Macaca mulatta: one gene and its partners. The protein of the gene in region 1 interacts with the protein of each later gene in a pairwise test. Links are inferred from orthologs where the notes say so. Each region holds a gene or a part of one and is shown on either strand. Other genes may lie near its edges. The genes, in order: ESR1, TRAM1, MED25 and PNRC2.

What was found.
Region 2: the proteins of ESR1 (region 1) and TRAM1 interact in a two-hybrid assay, tested with the Homo sapiens proteins (2 studies listed by BioGRID). The link is inferred for Macaca mulatta from reciprocal best matches to the Homo sapiens genes ESR1 and TRAM1.
Region 3: the proteins of ESR1 (region 1) and MED25 interact in a two-hybrid assay, tested with the Homo sapiens proteins (2 studies listed by BioGRID). The link is inferred for Macaca mulatta from reciprocal best matches to the Homo sapiens genes ESR1 and MED25.
Region 4: the proteins of ESR1 (region 1) and PNRC2 interact in a two-hybrid assay, tested with the Homo sapiens proteins (2 studies listed by BioGRID and IntAct). The link is inferred for Macaca mulatta from reciprocal best matches to the Homo sapiens genes ESR1 and PNRC2.

Annotation. Positions count from the first base shown.
Region 1 is NC_133409.1:70,391,002-70,396,105, forward strand, and holds the start of ESR1 (estrogen receptor), read left to right. Parts: upstream 1-1,827; 5' UTR 1,828-1,960; intron 1,961-5,104.
Region 2 is NC_133413.1:81,247,796-81,252,590, reverse strand, and holds the start of TRAM1 (translocating chain-associated membrane protein 1), read left to right. Parts: upstream 1-1,738; 5' UTR 1,739-1,977; intron 1,978-4,795. UniProt on the Homo sapiens protein: Involved in the translocation of nascent protein chains into or through the endoplasmic reticulum (ER) membrane by facilitating the proper chain positioning at the SEC61 channel.
Region 3 is NC_133424.1:62,290,014-62,294,355, forward strand, and holds part of MED25 (mediator of RNA polymerase II transcription subunit 25), read left to right. Parts: intron 1-1,983; coding exon 1,984-2,082; intron 2,083-2,507; coding exon 2,508-2,628; intron 2,629-3,474; coding exon 3,475-3,637; intron 3,638-3,776; coding exon 3,777-3,907; intron 3,908-4,210; coding exon 4,211-4,298; intron 4,299-4,342. UniProt on the Homo sapiens protein: Component of the Mediator complex, a coactivator involved in the regulated transcription of nearly all RNA polymerase II-dependent genes.
Region 4 is NC_133406.1:217,017,651-217,022,634, forward strand, and holds the start of PNRC2 (proline-rich nuclear receptor coactivator 2), read right to left. Parts: upstream 3,056-4,984; 5' UTR 2,885-3,055; intron 1,979-2,884; 5' UTR 1,773-1,978; intron 1,475-1,772; 5' UTR 1,457-1,474; coding exon 1,037-1,456; 3' UTR 1-1,036. UniProt on the Homo sapiens protein: Involved in nonsense-mediated mRNA decay (NMD) by acting as a bridge between the mRNA decapping complex and the NMD machinery. May act by targeting the NMD machinery to the P-body and recruiting the decapping machinery to aberrant mRNAs.

The DNA of each region.
Region 1 (5,104 bases):
CTAATGCTGCCAGGCTGCAGGGAGCTGGAAATGAAGCACCAACAGGAGTGGGTATTTAATGGGGAAGGGAATGATCAACTGCAATTTTTTTGGTACCCAAGACTTTCCACCTTCACACACACACGAGATGCTTTGAAATAAAGATAGTCAAATGACTTAGTAAAGTTTGTTGACATAAAAATATGGGAAATACCAAAGAATATAGAAAGGAAAACTTCATTAATATTATTCAAACTTAAAATTCTAGATTGTATCAACAGTAAGGGGGTTGATGAAAACATGGGAGAAGGCCAAGGGATGTGAGATCGGGCTCAATTCTTGACTTGCTGGGGAAAGGTATCAACACAGAACTTTTAAGAATTAGAAGGCATTAAAAAGAAATAGAAATCCTGAATCAAATTGAAACAGTAAAATAAAATAGTAGAAAGATGTGTAAATGTATCACTATCACAATAACTATAAATAGGTTAAATTTGCCAGTTGAAAGAAAGGAACTATTAAATGAGATTTAAAAAATTTGGATATATGCTTTTCGTGTGAACATACCTAAAGCATATACACGTAACCAGAAAATTAAAAGATGGAAAAATCTGCAGAGAGTGACAAAGGAAAGCTGGTGCATTTGTATTAGTATCAGATAAAGCTCATGTTTAGATAAAAAACATTATAGTAATAGAGGAAGTCAAAAGGTTAAAGTTTCAATTCACCAAGAAATATCCATTCTAAACATGTATACATACCCAATTAAGCTGCCTCAAAATATATATGACAAAAATTTAGAGAATTGTAGAGTCAGATATAAGGATTGAAAAGGAAGAAATGAAACTAATTATTTTCAGATGATATATACATTTACATAAAAAACTCCAAAGAATCTTCAGATAAATTATTAGAAATTGTAGGAGAGCTCAGCAAGAAGGCAGGATATAAAATTAATATACAAAAGTCAATGTCATTTCACTATACCAGAAAAAAGACAATAACATTAGAAAATAAATCTAACATAAGATGTAGAAAAACTTATTAGAGGCAAAATTTTCTTGAGAAATATTAAAGAAGATCTAAATAAGTAGAATTACATCATATTCATGCATAAGAAGGCAACATTTTGAAGATGTCTTGTTATATATAGGCCTAGGAATAATATAGTTTTAAGTTATGTTATTTTGAACTGTAGGTGAAAGAAAGCTCTTTTTTTTCCTTTGAGTATTTTAAGATTTTGAATAAAGTCATAGTGCTCTAGGAAGGTTGTAATATTTTATACTTCGCCAGCAGTGTTTGAGAATGCTTACTTCCTACATTATAACCACCATAAATATTTAAAACCTGATAGCACACAGTTTTAAAAATTTGAAATTCTCCAATTAACAGTGACCTTTAAAAATTATGTTTACTGGTCTCCATTATTTTGTCCTTTGTAAATTTTTATTAGTTTTTCTGTTCACATGTTCCATTTTTAAAATAGACTTTTAAGAGCTGTTTGTATTAAGAATATTAAGGCTTTGTCCCTATAATTAGTATTTTTCAGAATATCCTTTCTAGGTACAGTTTTTCAGTTCTAGTGCACAGAATGGAAACTTGTTACCTGCTATACCACATTTTCACTAGGATGTGATGTATTTATCACAAACAACAGTATTGGTCAACATTTTCCCTCGCTGTGAAGTGCACATTTGACATCCTTTAGAAAAATTACTGACGGTTTTGAGACGATTGTTTTGTGCTTTCTTTCAGTCAACGTAATTTTCCCGAAAGCAGAGATGACTCTTCCAGACATGCTAACAATGCCTGAACAAACTGTGTAAGCTTAGTCCAAAAAAAATATTTGATTAATAGATTTTATTTTGGTAGATTCTAAGGTTCTAAGCAGTCAGAGAAATAATCGCAGAGCCTCAAATATCTCCAAAATCTGATACCAATCCCTTTGATTGTGAATTATATTCTGTAGCTACCAAAGAAGGTAAGTTTTAATTTTTTCTACTCTATTAACTTTCTCTTGGGCAACTGAATATTAAGATGACTATGTAAGGAGGTTATCAGACCAAGGCCTCACACATCAGGATAAAAGCACATGCCATAGAAAGAACATTTGTGTCTCACAAGGTGATACCAAGGCAAGGCTATGGGATATATATGGGCACAATGTTGATATCTTCAAAGACTTAATACATAGTCTGGAGGTTTTCAGAGATTTTAATTTATAATGACAATCTTTCAAATTAGGAGAATTTTTGGACTGTAAAGTTAGCCAAACAAGTCTTCAATGATAAAAAACGTCTATATCTTACACAGGGGGAATACATTTTTTGTTCGTTTTAATTTTTTCTCTGTCTATTCATACAGGGGCATCACATGTCTTTATCATTAAAAACTCTGATTTAGATAGACAGTTGTAGAGAAATTTAATGTGTGAGAATTTAAAGTTGTTTTATAAAGATGTAGCAAAATACAAATTTAAGACCCACAGCACCAATGAAAAAGGGAAATTAATTAAACTAGACAACTTTTATGGGTACTACCCATTAAAATTAAAATTTTAGTCATTGTAAATTATATTACATTGTAACAGTTTTCAATCTGTTGTCAAGTTGAATATTTTGGTTGACAATTGTATTTCACAGTTGTTCACACTTTGCATAATTTTCTAAGGAAAATGAGTCCCTTGGGGAGAAAATTGTTCTAAAATTTTGTTGTTGGATAATGTTGCTGCACTAACATGATTTGCTGAAGTGGATCTACCATGTGTGTTTAGGTTTTTGTTCTTTACGAAATGTGTTGGGTGAAATTTTCCATAACACTGGTGAACTTTTCATGCTAATTTTCCAGTCCGTCAGTTTAAATATTATGCATTTTTTCCTGCGAATCTATCTTGAATCTGAAAAGGCCCCAGAAGGAATTAGCATGAGTCCAGAGTAGATGGACTGCAAATGTTACTCATATTTCAACATGTATCCAGCTTTCAGAAATAGCTTACTGAAATCAAGGTTGAACCACATGAAATTTTGGGGTTTTTTTGGATGTAAAAAAGGTTAAATATTGACATTTTCATATCATCCAATCTAATATCTTCCTCTAGTGAGGTTCTGGCAAAAAAAAAAAAAAAAAAAAAGTATGATGACCCAAGTTGTTCACTCTTTTAAGCTTTATATTTCAAAATATTTTTAAAATTTAAAGCCATATAAGTGCATCCCAAAAAACATGGGAAAATTTTGTAGGCTACTTTTGTTTACTGATTTTTCTTCTATAGATTTATTTTTATGCTATGCCTGACTCTCCAATTAGATTTTAGTCATCCAGGAAAGTACAATTGCTTGTACTTCTAAGCAATTCTCCCATCACCTGGACATTAACTGCAGCCCACACTGCAGTGTCTTGACTGCAGTAGGCACTCAGTAAATATTTATTGATGGTCCTGATTATGGGATGATGAAATATGCTAAAGGTAACTTAAACTTTTGTCAATAAAACTGAGTTTCAGGTTAGTTTGACCTTTTCCGTATCTCTAAATATTTTCTTTCATGTCATTTTTGTGAAATAGCTCACAAAAGTACTTATTGATTCTGAAATCCTTTTCCCCTCTGGTATTCCTGAGCTATTCTCACACACAGCACACCAGTGCCACCGTTTGCTGTTTTGGTTAAAATCATTCTCATTAATATTCCTCATTCAGTAAAAATAGTTGATTCTCAGTTATAAATATACACTTCATATTGGCAATGTGGGATGGAAAACAAAATGATGATATTGACTCCATAAGATAAACAGCAGTCTTTAGAATAGAGTTTGGTGCATAACTGTTCTAAATGTATCAAAGTTATCTCATTTAATCCTCCCACACACCTGTGGGAAGAGAGTATTTGTCTTGCTTTACAGATAAGGAAGCTGAGGCTTAGAAGATTCATATGTCTAACTAAGATCACAGAGCTGGTAAATCAGCCAAGTTTGAGTCTAAATCCAGGTTTTAAATATCATATTACATGTAGGCATAGATAAGCAAGAACAGGTTTTCCTGAAGATGGCCAGGCTAAGGCTTAGAAGAAGGAAGCTCAAGGAGACTAAACCAAGATATGCTAAGGCAAGTTTTTTTGTTTGCTTGTTTGTTTTTGAGACCGAGTTTCGATCTTGTTGCCCAGGCTGGAGTGCTGTAGCATGATGTTGGCTCACCACAACCTCCGCCTCCTGGGTTCAAGTGATTCTCCTGCCTCAGCCTCCCGAGTAGCTGGGATTATAGGCATGCACCACCATGCCCAGCTAATTTTGTATTTTTAGTAGAAACGGTGTTTCACTATGTTGGCCAGGCTGGTGTCGAACTCCTGACCTCAGCTGATCCGCCCACCTCAGCCTCCCAAAGTGCTGGGATTACAGGCATGAGCCACTGCGCCTGGCCTGCTAAGGTAAGTATTAACCATTAGAGATGACTAGTCCCAGTGACAGGTCTTTCCTACTGGGAGTCAGCCAAGAGCTCCCCACTTTTCTGGTTCCGTTGTTCCTCCTGCAAAGTTCCATTCATAAAGTGGTTTCCCATTTGATTGTCCAATGATGCAAATCTCCAGTCCTTTATAGCATTGAGTTTCTCATGGCCTTTTACCGTTGAGTTTCTCATGGCTAATGAATGCTAATGAATTGGTGTTCCCATTTATCTATAGGATTCCATGAGTCAGCCTCTAAAAGAAGGTTCCACTCCCTCACTGTGGGTACCGTCTGGGAATTAGACCCTTAATAGGAGTAATTCACCAAGCAATGTCTTCTGTAATAACGCTCCAGTCTCACTGAGAGCTTTCTATTCAAAACAACAATCTAAAGGTCTACAGTGTGACTTTCAACTAAACTGAAAAAAGAATAGAAAATGAATGTATGTGATGTACACATTCATTCAACTTCTTATCCCTAAAATTCATAGCAGATTATGACTGATCATTAAAGCCAAATTAAGGAGGCAAAAGGTATAAAACAAAAGGAACTATCAGGCATAATAGTCTTTAAAGTAAAACATTACTACTGACAGTTGCTTGTGTGAAAGATATCTTTATTTAATATGGTAAAAAGAACACAGGAATTGCTGGCACTTACTGTATGTCCATTTTATGTCCATCTTAAAATAGAT
Region 2 (4,795 bases), on another chromosome or scaffold:
AGGGCATAGTCAACCCTCAGTAAGTACATAAATGAATACGTTTTTAAAAATGAGGAAATGGGGTCCCATAGAGATTAAGTAACTTGTCCTTGATCATACAAGTAATAAGTGGCAGAATTCTGATTTAACAAGCCACATTCTTAAACCACTAAGTGGTTACACCAGAGTTGTAATATTGTAGGCAAGAGGCAAGTCCCCTCGGACTGTGGTAGTGGAGAAGCGGGGTGATAGGACTGCCCCGGGTTGGTGATGACCGGATGCGGAAGGGCCCTGAAAGGGCTCAATCTAGCATGACTTTGGTTTCTACATTTGGCTCATGGGTAAACAGGAGAGCAATTCTTCAGGAAAAAGAATACAAAGGACTCCTGGTTTGGGCAAAACGATAAGAGGAGGACGTGCCTTTTCCACGATCCTTTTCAACTTTTTGATTACTAAAACATGTTGTTAATTTAAATATACGTGAAGCCAGTAAACCCAAACTGATCCCTTCGTCTTCAGTCTGAGGCCAGTGGGGGATGGGGGTAGGGATGGGGACGGTGACGGGGACAGGGATGGGGGTGGGGATGGACAGGCAGACCAGAATAGGGTCAGCTTTTTTTTAAAGTTAGTCCAAACTTACAAAGGGTAGAAATAAGTCCCCGGGAGTGCTTAACTCTAAGGTTAATTTTTTAAGGCAGACGCTAAAACTGGAGAATACACCGTACCCCTGTGGAGTCAGGTAGTATTTGTAGTTTTATATTATCCTGACGGTGGCAGTCACTTGTAGAAGTGGCAGTGTGCAACAGGCCACTGACACCCAATCCCTGGGTGGCCAGGAGGGCGGGAGAGCACCCGGTCGCTGTCTCAGGCTGCTGAGCAGGCGGAGGAAGCTCGCGCCTCAAACGACTCCCAAACCCGGGCCCGGTGCGTAGCAGGGGCGCGCCGCTCACTTTCCAGCAAACTCGCCCGGCCGCGAGCCAGCGGCCTCCGGTCCCCAGGTGGCGCTGTGGCCTCGCGGAGGAGGCCGCGGCACTAGCGAGCGTCATCTCCCTGGTGCGCATGCTCGCCGCCGCTGCGGGCTGGCTGTTTTTTTTGTTTGTTTTTTTTTTTTTCTTTTTTTTTTTTCCTCCCGGGCGGCCCGGCGGCTGCGTACTGGCTGTGGGATGGGAAGTGAAGCCCCAGCGAGCGGCTGCAGCGGGGCCGTGAGGAGCAGCCAGGGGGAGGCGGCGGCGGCGGCGAGTCGGTGAGCAGCTGGGAAGAGCAGAGCCGGGGTGGAGCACCTGCAGGCGCGGGCGGCGGCCCCACCATGGCGATTCGCAAGAAGAGCACCAAGAGCCCCCCGGTGCTGAGCCACGAATTCGTCCTGCAGAATCACGCGGACATCGTCTCCTGTGTGGCGATGGTCTTCCTGCTGGGGCTCATGTTTGAGGTGAGCCCGCCCCGAGCCCCAACCGCCTGCCCCGCCACCCCCTGCCCAGGCCCGGGCTCCAGCTGCCAGCCCCGGCTTCTCCGCCCAGGACCGCGGGGGGCTCGGGTCCGGGGTAGGTGCGGACCCCCCAGTCCCCGAGGTGCAGGCCTGCCATGTCCCGCCCCACGCCGGCGGCAGCTCCCCAGCGGCCGGCCCGGGGATGCAAAGTCCCGGTGGGCCTCATCGCGGCCCGCAGGGGGGTGGGGACGGCCGCGTCGCCCCCTTCCTGACCCGCCGCCGCCCCCTCCCTCCGGCTGCGCGGCGCAGTTCCTGGTTCCCGCGAAGGGTTACGTGGCAGCCGGCGAGGGGCCGGCGGGCGGGCGGGCGGGCGGGCGGGGGCGGCCCCTGCGCTGCCGAGCTGGCTCGGGGCGGGTGGGCGGACTTGGGGGTACTGCCAGCATCTGCCGCTGAAGCGTCAGCCCCGCGAGGGCCGAGGAAGGCGGAAGCCCGGCCCCAGGGTCTGAGGAGTGCCGGCCTGGAGGCCACAGGCCCGAGTGACAGGGGGGCCCCCCGGTAGCTCCGAGATTGGGGTGAGCGAGAAACTGGAGTCGGGCATCTGCTTTCGACTTGAAGGGCGGTGGCCGCCGGGCACCGGCACGGTGGAGGCACGCCGGATTGTTTTAATTTCTGTCTTTTCAACTGGTATTATTACCAGTTAACGAACTTTTTGCCCTGATGCTTTAAAGAAACAAGGTCTGATGGATAAATCGAGGTTCTGAACTGCGGTGCCAAGGAGTCGAGTAATTTTGTTTCTTGAAGTAGGAGAGGATAGGAATGTCAGGAGTGTGTAAATTCTCTTCCCACGTATCTAGTATTTTGATGGCTTATTTAACAGCTGTTGAATGTGGATGATAAACTTTGCAAGGTGAACGAGTAACATCCTACGTTTTTCCCCTCGCTTGTCAATACACGCGCTCATTCCTTTGCTTTTTCCCCTTAATTTTTCTCTGGAGCCCTTATGTCTCAGTAAATATACAAATTATTTTGCTCCTGCCTTGTTTTGTCTCCTCTCTCCTGCATGTAACAAGTGAGAGTAGAGATTTTGGAGTATTTTTAAGAGTCTGTATTTCCAGAGTCTAGGATAGTGCCTGGGATATAGGAGTGCTTAAAAAAATATGAGCGACATTAAGAATCCTTGAGAAAACCTAATGCAGTGACATTACCAGTGACCAAAATGTGAATACATTTTTTTTCATGGAGCCTTTTTTTTTTAAATTTTAAAATTAAATAATATTTTAACCTTATTTTCGCCTCTCATCAAATGGGCTTTTCTGGATCTAGATACAGATATCATTTACTCCTGATGGTGTCGTGCATGTTTGAAACCACTGCTAAGGATGTAGCGGGTATAGTAAAGGGTAGGTAGAAGGGAACTAACATTCTCAAGCTTTAAGTCTGGGCTGTGCCACCTACTTCCTGGGTGCCCCAAGTCTGAGTCTCAATTTTTCTGCTCTTTATAAGGAAATAATATCACCTGTACTGTTCTCCTCACAGCCATTTTTTGCAAGGTTCAGATAATATGGTGTGAAGGTAAATACAGTGCTAGGCCTGGTGCGCTGGCTCACGCCTGTAAGTCCCAACACTTTGGGAGGCCAAGGTGGGAGAATCACTGGAGTACAGGAGTTCGAGACCAGCCTAGGCAACATAGGGAGAGCTTGTCTCTACAAATGATTTTTAAAAAATTAGCCAGGAGTGATAGCACGCACCTGTGGTGGCAACTGGGAGGCTGAGGTGGGATAGTTACTTGAGCCCAGGAGGTGCAGGCTGTAGTGAGCCAAGGTTTCACCACTGCATTCCAGCCTGAAGGACAGAGCAAGACCCTGTCTCCAAAAAAAAAACAAAACAAAAAAAAAACCCAACGCTAAACATTTGTATTCACTTTCTGAATTTGATACTTATATATACTTTCTACTTTGATCTTAAAGTGATACTTTAATATATGTAGTATATTCAATTTTATGTAACTTGTCATAAACCATCTCCACATGTTAAGATTTCCTGACTTTAAAAACATATTTTAGGGGTACCATGACCTGCAAGGTACATTTGCAGTGCTTTGAATGAAATGAAATATAAATCAGAAATTCTGACACATAGTATAACTTTAATTTTATATAAACTATTTTCCATTCTCTTACTATATTTCTAGGGAAGTCCACCACCTATACCTTGCCTCACATGTTAGTGATTTTTTTTTAACAGTGGATTTTCACCTTTATATAAATTTGTAAAATTTGAAAATCTAAACAGACAAAAATACTAGAGGTTTTTTAAGTCAATTCAAAAGTGAGCATTAAAGTGATACACAAAAGTGAAGTTTCTGCGAGTTGTTCCTTTTTCTTACCATATGTTAAGGTGTTAGGATTTCAAAGCATGTTATCTATATATAGGAATGTGTAGACTAGGTTAGTTTTGCTATTCGACTTTTAAAACAATTGCTGCTGAATCTCAAAATTAACGTAATTATAGAATTACAGTACTTGTGCTAGAATAATAGAGAAATTGATTTTTTTTTTTGCAGAACTGTTAAGCCTGTTGTGCAGATACATTAAGGAAATGTCAGAGGATTTATGGTGAAATCGACAAAGAAATTAACAAAGAAAGAAATACTGTATTACTAGCCAAAATGAAGAAGCAATGCAGATACACTGTAAAAGCATGGATTCTGGAGCTGAAGGGATTCATGTTCAAGTTAGGGCTCTGCAGCTTGCTAACTGGTTGACCTAAGGCAGCTCAGAACTGAAGTTTCCTCATCTGCAAAATGGGGCTTATTGGGTTAGTCTGATAATTAAATTAACCAATATGTATTAAGCCTAGTTCAATGCTTGGCTTGCAAGAGGCATGCAATAAGTGGTAGCTATTATTATTCTTTAAAAACTCACCAAAATTGGGAAGTAGAAAACATTTTTATGTGAGAGAAGGGCCTGGAATCTCTTTAGTTAGCATCTAAAGAGATTATACATACTGAAAAGGCTAACAAAGTAGTCTGTTTGGTGGTAATGTAAGAGTTTAATTTCCAGGGAACTTCACATTAATCAAAAATGGCGTGTAAATTTTAGAATCATAGTTTTATTACAGTCAGTATCTGTCCACATAATTCAAATTATAGTATACAATGAATGGCTTCATATTTGAGTTAGGAAAAATTGAATGGTCAAAAAATGTTAGGGATGCTTGGGAAGCTTTCTGAAAGTGAGGATGTGGAGGAGGGGTGAAAAATTAGGGGTTCACAAGAGACGTATTTCTTTTAAGGAGCGTATAAAGGAAATATATTCAAAAGGAAAGATATTCAAAATCTGCAAGTTCTTTATGCCATACAGATTTTGGGGATGTTTACAGTTTCAGCCA
Region 3 (4,342 bases), on another chromosome or scaffold:
CCCCCTCCCAAAGATGTGACAACCAAAAATGTCTCCAGGCATTATAAAATATGCCCTGCCACATGGCCCTGCCAGGCCTCCAGTGCGCTGAGTACTCAGCAGACGGTTCCTAGGCCTTGTGTGACCTGGGGCTCAGACACCTTGGTGTCTCTCATGGAGGACTGCACATGGTGTGGAGAGAAGCTTGACAGCTGCAGTATCAGGTGATCTATGATGTGATTAAGGGCAGGCCCTAAAATTAGGTGGCACGTAGGGAAGGCTTCCTGCAGGAGGGCACACCAGGATGGGTGTCGTAGCTTCACTGGATTCCATCTGGGCTGGAATGGGTGTGTTCCAGCACATGCAGAGACCTGGATGTCTGGGCTTCATCAGTCAAGAGGACCTATAGGCGCGGGCATGGAGCAGGAGAGCAGGGTGCAGGACTCAAAGGCCTCGGATGCCAGGCCAAGGGCCTGGGTTGGTTCCAGCCTTGATGAACAGGGTTGGGCTTGTAGCCATTTGTTCATTTAGCTTACATTTCCTGAGGCCTCCCGTGTGCCCCACTGTGGTGGGCAAGCCTGGGGGTGAGAGAGGACTCAGACCCCATCCCGGCCTTGGGGGAGGTAGGGTCAGAGACCACATTTCAGAGGGACAGGGCCCTCAAGACCCTCAGAGGGGCGCTCAGTCTCCACACACGTCCCCTGCAGCAAAGATCAGCCTCTTACAACTATGTGACTGGAAGAATGGTGGCAACCACAGCTGCCCTTGAGGAGAGGCCATCCCCAGGCCACAACCCATGTGGGACAGATGCTGCGACGCAACTGCAGATCAGGCGGAGGAGAAACGAGAGTCTGTATGTGTTAGTTTCCCAGGCTGCTGTAGCAAAGTATGAGAAACTGGCCAGAAGAATGGAAATCGATGTCTCAGGGTCTTGGAGGCTGGAAGTCCAAAATCCAGGTGGTAGGGCCAGGCTGTCTCTGAAACCTTATAGGGGAAGGGCCCTTCTGCCTCTCCCGGCGCCTGGTGCGCCCAGACCTTCCTGGCTGAGGCTGCATCACCCATCCTCACGTGGCCTCTCCCTGTGTCTCTGTGTCCCTGTGTCTTCCCTCTGTATGTGTGTCCGTGTCCACGTTTCTGCTTTTCACAGACACCAGCCATAGTGGATTAGGGTCTGCAATTTAACTCGATTACCTGTGTAAAGATCTTTCCAAATCAGGTCACCTTCTGAGGTACTGGGACTTAGGACCTCAACTTGTCTTTTTGAGGGGGGCACACTTCAGCCCATAAGACTGGGAGGACAGAGGAGGCCCCCATCTCTGGCCGGGAAGGTGAAGTGGGGCCAGGACTGATTTGGAGCAGACAGCCCAGAGAGGGAAGGGGACAGCAGGAGGCTGGGCAGGGAGTCAGTCACTCCAGGGTTGGAGTCAGCACAGGATCCTAGGCTTGGGGTTCCCAGCCCTTTCCCATTCCCTCCCAGTCCTCATGATTAAGACAATAAATGTCGGCTGGGCGCGGTGGCTCACGTTTGTAATCCCAGCACTTTGGGAGGCCGAGGCGGGTGGATCATGAGGTCAGGAGACCGAGACCATCTTGGCGAACACGGTGAAACCCTGTCGCTACTAAAAACACAAAAAATTTGCTGGGCGTGGTGGCAGGCACCTGTAGTTCCAGCTACTCAGGAGGCTGAGGCAGGAGAATGGCATGAACCTGGGAGGTGGAGCTTGCAGTGAGCCGAGATTGCGCCACTGCACTCCAGCCTGGGTGACAGAGCAAGACTCCATCTCAAAAAAACAAAAAAACGCACACAACAAGTGTCCCCTGTCCTGTCTGGTACTGATGCTGTGCTAGCACCAGGGATCGGGTAGGGAACTCAGCGGTGTCCCTGTCATCCCAAGGTGCATACTCCAGGATAGGGTGGGGGACAGCATGGGAGCAGGCTTTTCAAGCATGGCCTGGGGGCAGGGATGATGGCAACCCTGGGGGCTGACTGCTCTGCCCCTACAGGTTCATGGGTGGGGGTGGCGAGAGCTGCAGCCTCATCGCGGAAGGACTCAGCACAGCCTTGCAGCTGTTTGATGACTTCAAGAAGATGCGTGAGCAGATGTGAGTGCCCCGTCTGCCCAGGCTGGGTCAGTCTCTCTCTGCCTGGCCCGGAACCACTTTGCCTGTCGAGTGGCTCTACCTCTAGCCTCACCCTGTAGGGCATGGGCTCTGTGTCCCCAAGCACGCTGAGCCAGGAGGCTGCAGGTTTGTTCTTGGGGGAGGTCTGGGCAGTGCCTGGTCTCAGCGTCCCCATCAGGAAGCAGTGCCAACTGTGGGTGTCACTCCTGCGTGCTCTGCCTGCTGGGTGACGGAGAGCACATTCCAGAACCTCTCAGGGCCTCAGTGTTGTCAGCTGTAATAAATTATGGGCGTTGCTTCTGATTCCATATGAGGCTGAATATGTGCGCCTCCACTGGTGCTGGGTCTGGGTTCCATCTCAGGGCCCCTGTTGCTGCCGGCTCCATGTCTTCTCTCATTCCTGGTAGTGGCCAGACGCACCGGGTCTGCCTCCTCATCTGCAACTCGCCTCCATACCTGTTGCCTGCTGTTGAGAGCACCACGTACTCTGGATGCACAACTGAGAATCTCGTGCAGCAGATTGGGGAGGTGAAGACTCCAGGGTCTGAGGGAGGAGGGTCTGGGGGCCAGGATTCTTGGGTTTGAGGCAGGAGGCACTGAGGGCCTGGACTCCTGGGTCTGAGGGAGGAGGCACTGGGGGCCTGGACTCCTGGGTCTGAGGGAGGAGGCACTGCGGGCCTGGACTCCTGGGTCTGAGGGAGGAGGCACTGGGGGCCTGGACTCTTGGGTCTGAGGGAGGAGGCACTGGGGGCCTGGACTCTTGGGTCTGAGGGAGGAGGCACTGGGGTCTGGACTCTTGGGTCTGAGAGAGGAGGCACTGGGGGCCTGGACTCAGTCACAGAATAGTCACAGACTGGCGACCAGCTTTGCTTACTCTCTTTTTTTGAAACAGAGTCTGGCTCTGTTACCCAGGCTGGAGTGCAGTGGTGTGATCTTGGCTTACTGCAGCCTCTGCCTCCTGGGTTCAAGCAATTCTCGTGTTTCAGCCTCCCGAGTAGCTGGGATTATAGACGCCCGCCATCACGCCCAGCTAATTTTTGTATCTTTAGTAGAGACGAGGTTTCACCATGTTGGCCAGGCTGCTTTCGAACTCCTGGCCTCACGTGATCTGCCTGACTCGGTCTCACAAAATCCTGGGATTACAGACGTGAGCCTCCACACCTAGCCCACTTAGTCTTACTGACAAAACCAGAACGTAGAGTCTCCCGGGGCAGGCAATACCAGGTTTCAGGGTCTCCTGCCTCAAAGCCCAGTGGGAATTGTGGTTGTAGGACTGGTGCTGTCCAGCCACACAGCAGCTGTGGTAGGTTGGGCGCTGGCCCCAACACCCCTATGGAGGGGGCCCGTCATGACTGCTGGGTCCCTCTCCTATAGCGGGGGATCCACTTCTCCATCGTCTCTCCCCGGAAGCTGCCTGCACTTCGGCTTCTGTTTGAGAAGGCAGCCCCCCCGGCCTTGCTAGAGCCGCTGCAGCCTCCGACAGATGTGAGCCAGGACCCAAGGCACATGGTGCTGGTTCGGGGGCTCGTGCTGCCCGGTGAGGCCTGGGCACCGCGCGCGGGGATCGGGGGCTCAACGTGTTTCCCAGCTCCCTCTGACTTGGATTTTGGATTTCTCTCCCCTTTCTCCATCTTGAATCCCTTCTTTCCGGGGTTGGCCATCCCTCCTGCTCTCAGTTGGGGGTGGCTCTGCCCCAGGCCCCCTCCAGCCAAAGCAGCCAGTCCCCCTGCCTCCTGCCGCACCCTCCGGTGCCACTCTCTCAGCAGCTCCCCAGCAGCCTCTGCCCCCCGTCCCCCCGCAGTACCAGGTATGGATGTTTCCAGGAAGGGACATGCTTCTGGGGACTTGCTGGAGCCCTGGCCCCTGGGGAGAGATCTAGTTGCATGTTGGAGCTTGTGGGATGATGGGAGTCCCATGGGACATTGGGAGGGTGGGACTCCTGGGGCCATGGAAGCTCATCTGCTAGGTGATGGGTGTCGTGAGCTTCTGAGCTCTCCCAGCTGGGGCAGCTGTGCCTTGTGGGGCCGTGGGTGGTGTGACCTCGTGGGACACCAGGATTGGAGGGCCATGGTCCTCACCAGTCCCTTTCCTTCTTCCCTTCTACCCACAGGTTCCTGGGAACCTGAGTGCAGCTCAGGTGGCCGCCCAGAATGCAGTGGAGGCCGCCAAGAACCAGAAGGCTGGGCTGGGCCCTCGCTGTGAGTCCTGGGGCGAGAATGAAGGGGCGGGCAGGGGCCAGGCA
Region 4 (4,984 bases), on another chromosome or scaffold:
AATAGTTTTAGCAGCTTAAACCTTTTTAGTTATAAAACTTACTACACTCGGATTTACTTTGAAATGTAGTTTACAATCAAGTATAACATACGTACACTGGCACTTTAGCACAAGGGCAAACTTTAAAAACAAATTATTTTGGACCTTTAAAATTAGGCCATACTATAAAAAACAGTCCACGGTCTTACATTCAGCAAATTCATACTAAAATATTCCATTTTTGTAAGATAAAGGCCAATAAAACTTTACATATGCTACAAGTTTATTACAGATATGTACATGGCTCTTTCTCCCCTAGGTACTTAAAATTTTCACATTATCCAACTCCCCAAAGCAAGCTTTGCAGGAATGATGAGGCCAGATCACTATTAGAATAGCTTGTGCAGTGCTGTAATACAAAAATGTATTTTGAAAGCTATTGAGTGACCATTAAATACTGTTTCTATAAAAAATGGTTTTGGTGTATTTGTTGACACTTAATCCACTATATTTAATAAACAGGGCCATTGGGATGTACTATGTCTCATTCTAATGAGCTCCAAATGCCCTTTCCACCCACTGTACAATTCACTAAAATGCAATTATTACAAAAAATTCACATTTTCTTTCAGCAGTGCATCAGGTTGTTAGCATATTACTGGTTTGGGTGTTTCTAATATACTAAACTTTCAGATGTTTACCTAATTCTGAATCCTTGTGTTAGCTTGAAGCTTATAATCTGATTCACCAACTTTCAACAATCTACTCCATGAATGATAAATTACTATCTTCCCCTAACAATAGAAAAAGCTGATTCCTTTACCACTCCCCAAATCTAAACTTGGTTTCCACTTAAAAGTTACTCAGTTGAGAACACTTAATATCAAATACCATTAGTTTAAGTTGCACTGATACTACCATTGTATCACAGTGCACACAAGATCGTCTATTTTTTTTACATTAATTAGCAGTTCTACACAAATAGATTAATTCCTTAGCGAATGTTTCAGACCAATTGACAACTACCCGCGAACATAATTTTAACATTTGTCTTACTTTATACCTGTACTTTAAGTAAGGTTTTAAGTTGAAATGTCATTATTTCCTTATCTGAAGGATTAAAGGAAACAGGGACCCAGTGGCTTGGTGGTTTGGGAAGAACACTTGGTGATGGTGGCTCACTAAATTTGGCACCAGCATAGTTCTGATTAGCTTGAGATTTAAAAAGTAAGCTGGGACCTGATAAGCTAGAATTCCAACTCTGATTATTTGGAAAATTTTTGTTCTTCCCCCCACTTTGCATAGCCTGCCAAGCAGCTGCTGATGAGTTATAACCATGTCCTCTTTCTTTTTTCTTATGAACAATCTTCATCTGGGAATTCTGATCCTTGGTCTTCTGTCTGTTAAGCTGTTGTTGGTTCTTACTAACATTTCTAGATTGAGGGGCTGGAATGTTATACCGCTCTCCACCACCCATCTTCAGCTTCTTTGTCACCTACAAGTGAATGGAAACAAATATTGAGTAAAATTCCATTAAGTTCAAATCTGTAAAAAGCTTCTATGGCTCCAACTTATAACTCCAGATATTTTGAACAAGACTCAGTAATAGGCTATTCAGCTGCTTTAAATTAAAAAAGCAAGCTGTTTAGACTCCAATATATGCACAACCTTTATTATTATACCGTCTCTAAGAAAAATGAGCTTACCCACAAATCAGCATAATCTATTTTAAAATAAAAACAATTGGTTTAGGATGGCTCCATCATAAAATGTTTGCCCATTATGATGATTACCTTTCAGTCTGCTTTTCAGATTGCAGGATCTCCACTACCTGTCCTCTTCCTTGCTGCCAAGCCCAAGATAACAAGTGTTGCTTTCTGACAGATCCTTTCCTTTGTCTCAATACAGAAGTTTTCATGGGCCGATCTGCTGAGTTCAGCCTAGGAGCTGAGGCCAACATCTGAGTCTCCTCAGCACACAAGTTTGAGAGAAGTCCTAGCTAGAAAAGTAAAGATTACTTCATTATTTCAAAAACACGTTGAGAAAGTGATCATTTAGATTTACTACAAAAATCGTTGACTGTAAAGAAGGCTACTTCCTGAACTAAAAGGTAGAAAATTTAAGATGGCTTTGACCTCATAACCACGATCATTTAAAAACTCTTCACCCTTGAGACCCAGTCACTCCTGGGGAATTTTTGGAAATGTCTCGAAGTCCCGCAGTAAGTTTTGTTTTTATCTTTTTCCTGGGAAAGATCTTCAGATTCTCTCACGTATAAAATCAAATAACGAGTGTTAAAATGTTAAGAGTCATCAAAAAATTGGCTTCAGGCGGATTTTCAAAAGAGACCGTGTTTTTAAACTCCCACCAGAATTTTCCAATCTTTCCACACACGTCACATCCATTTTCAGTCTCTTGGAACATGTAGACATCACGCAGTGTTTCCTTTGGTTGTGAACACCCTCGCCTCCTCCCCGTCTTAAAATAAGTTCTCACAAGCCCTAACACTCTAAGCCCATCTTAAATCTATAAAAATGTCTCCCTAGAGGGAACAGCTCAACATTCAAGGTTTGGTTTTAATTTGATGTTCCAAGAAAATAAGTTACCAAATAGTTAAGCCCCCTCCTTTCAAAGGGGTAAGAGAGCCTTCCAAACAGATAAACCACCCTAAATAAATTGCCATTTCCGGACTGTGAGTCATTCACAACTCGAACTCGGAAAACTCGCCGCCTCCGACGCCACACAGGCTTGGCTTCCCAGTGGCCCCATCTCTCCGGAGCCGCAGGGGTCGGGGCGCTGCGACCGCCCGCGCCCGCCCGGATCTCGCCTCCGCTCGCCTCCTTCCCCCAACAATGGGGAGCGCAGCCACCAACATGGCCGCGCCCGCTGCACAGCCGCTACTTACCGACTTCAAGCTCGGAACTACGGCGGCAGTGGCTCCCTCTCGACGTCGAAGCCTCCCTCCCTTTCCAGGGAGAGACGAGGCACGGACCGACAAAGCCCACGAACACCGATGAGCGAGCTGCCGGTCACCCTAGCTTCTACAACCCAACCTCCTCCTTCTGCCTCTACCGACAAAATGGAGTCGGCGGCGACCGCAGAAGCAGGGCCGGGCGGCTCCGCGGCCAATCAAAACACGACAGCGCAGGCCTGGCCAATGAGAAGCGGGCCGCCGCCTGTTGCTGGGGCAGGCCGGGGGCGAAGGCGGGGAGGTGGGGCTGCCGAGGGTTTGAAATCCGCCCGGGGAGGAGGAGCATGCCGGGAGTAACTGCCCGGTCCGCCGGTGTTCACGGCCTTACCACCGCGGCCTCCCCGCGCCCCTGGCCCCCCAAGGCCCCGGCCGCTAGCTCTCGGCTCTTCCTCCCGCTCGGCTCGTGCGCGCGGGCTCGCTGCCCTTGGGACTGCCCTGAGGGAAAAGACTGACCGGCGGGGGACGTTTGGCTCTCGAATTAGGGCCACTGAGTCGCGTAGCCTGTATTGACAGATGGAGGATACTCCAGAAAGCCGCTTGCCAGGGCCCAGCCCCCGCCCGCCTCGGGCCTCGACTTCTGGGTCGCCTCTCTCCCACATTCACAACTCCGCATCCGAAGTCGGCGCGTCCCTGCGGTTCCCTCCGGTGCCCCCCACCCTCCAGCCCCGCAGTTACTCAAAAGTTGCCTCCGTGTGAAGGCGGTTCAGACACACGCGGGCAAGTCAGTCACTTCCTGCTTGGTGGCCCCATTGGCCCTTAAGTTCAGTTAGAGCCCTTAACGCGCCGTGTTACAGTTTCCTGTGGCAGCAGCTCTCCCCACCCACACACCCTCGAGGGCCACAACCGGTTAGGTTTTGTTTCTCTGACCGCAGCGCCTTCGCGCGTGGTAAGTGCACAGTAAGTTTGCTGAGAGAATGAGGGCTGCTCCCTTCCCCTTTTTGCCCCACTTGTAAGTGAAAAAAAGGAAAGAAAGAGAATATTGTTTAGTTGATTATGCCAGCCAGATGCAGGTAAGGGGAAAATGGCAATTTCTTTGGAGTACGTGTGTGAGCAACCCAGTGTGAATCTTTTAAAAGAGAACACTAATTTCAATGAGCGTGAATAATTCTGGGATAAACGGTACAAAATCAAGTCTCATTACATTCCCAGTTTGTTCGTGTATACACATGGATACATACATACGTAAGTTTACATTAAATAATTTGTATTTACCAACTTCTTATAAATCTCATGTAATTTGTCGTTTATTTTTGAAACGGAGTCTCGCACTGTCGCCCAGGCTGGAGTGCAGTGGCACAATCTCGGCTCACTGCAACCTGCGCCTCCTGGGCTCAAGCGATTCTCCTGCCTCAGCCTCCTGAGTAGCAGGGATTACAGGCGCCCGCCAACACACCCTGCTAATTTTTGTATTTTTAGTAGAGACAGGAGTTCACCATGTTGGCCAGGCTGGTCTCGAACTCCTTACCTCACGTGATCCGCCCGCCTCAGCCACTCAAAGTGCTGGGATTACAGGCGTGAGCCACCACACCCGGCCTGTATTTCGTTTTTTAATCTTCAATTTTTTGCCACCGTCATCCCCCACTTCCCAATCCAACCCAAATTCCTATATTCTAGCCATTGGATCTTAAGGAAAGTTACTGCATCTTAAGAGATGCAGTTTGTTAATCTAGTTTGATAAAAGAGGTATTTTTGAGCATAGGGACTTTCTGATGCTAATCATAGTCAAATAAGAAGAATGTGGTAAACCAACAGGTGTCTCAGTGAAAGGGTAATCTGTTTTCCAAACATTCAAGAAGTTTGCTTAGACATCTAGCCAGATAATAGTCAGCTGTATTTAATGAATTTTTAATGGTGTCACTTTAAAAAACAAAAAATTCCGTGGCTCCAGATTGTAATACAGAATAAAATCTAAACTCTAAACGTTTAGAAAATCATTCAAAGTAATTGCAGTCTAGAATTAGTCTTTTCATGGCAGGGCATGGCTCACACCTGTAATCTCAGCAATTTGGGAGGCCAAGGCAGGAGGATCACTTG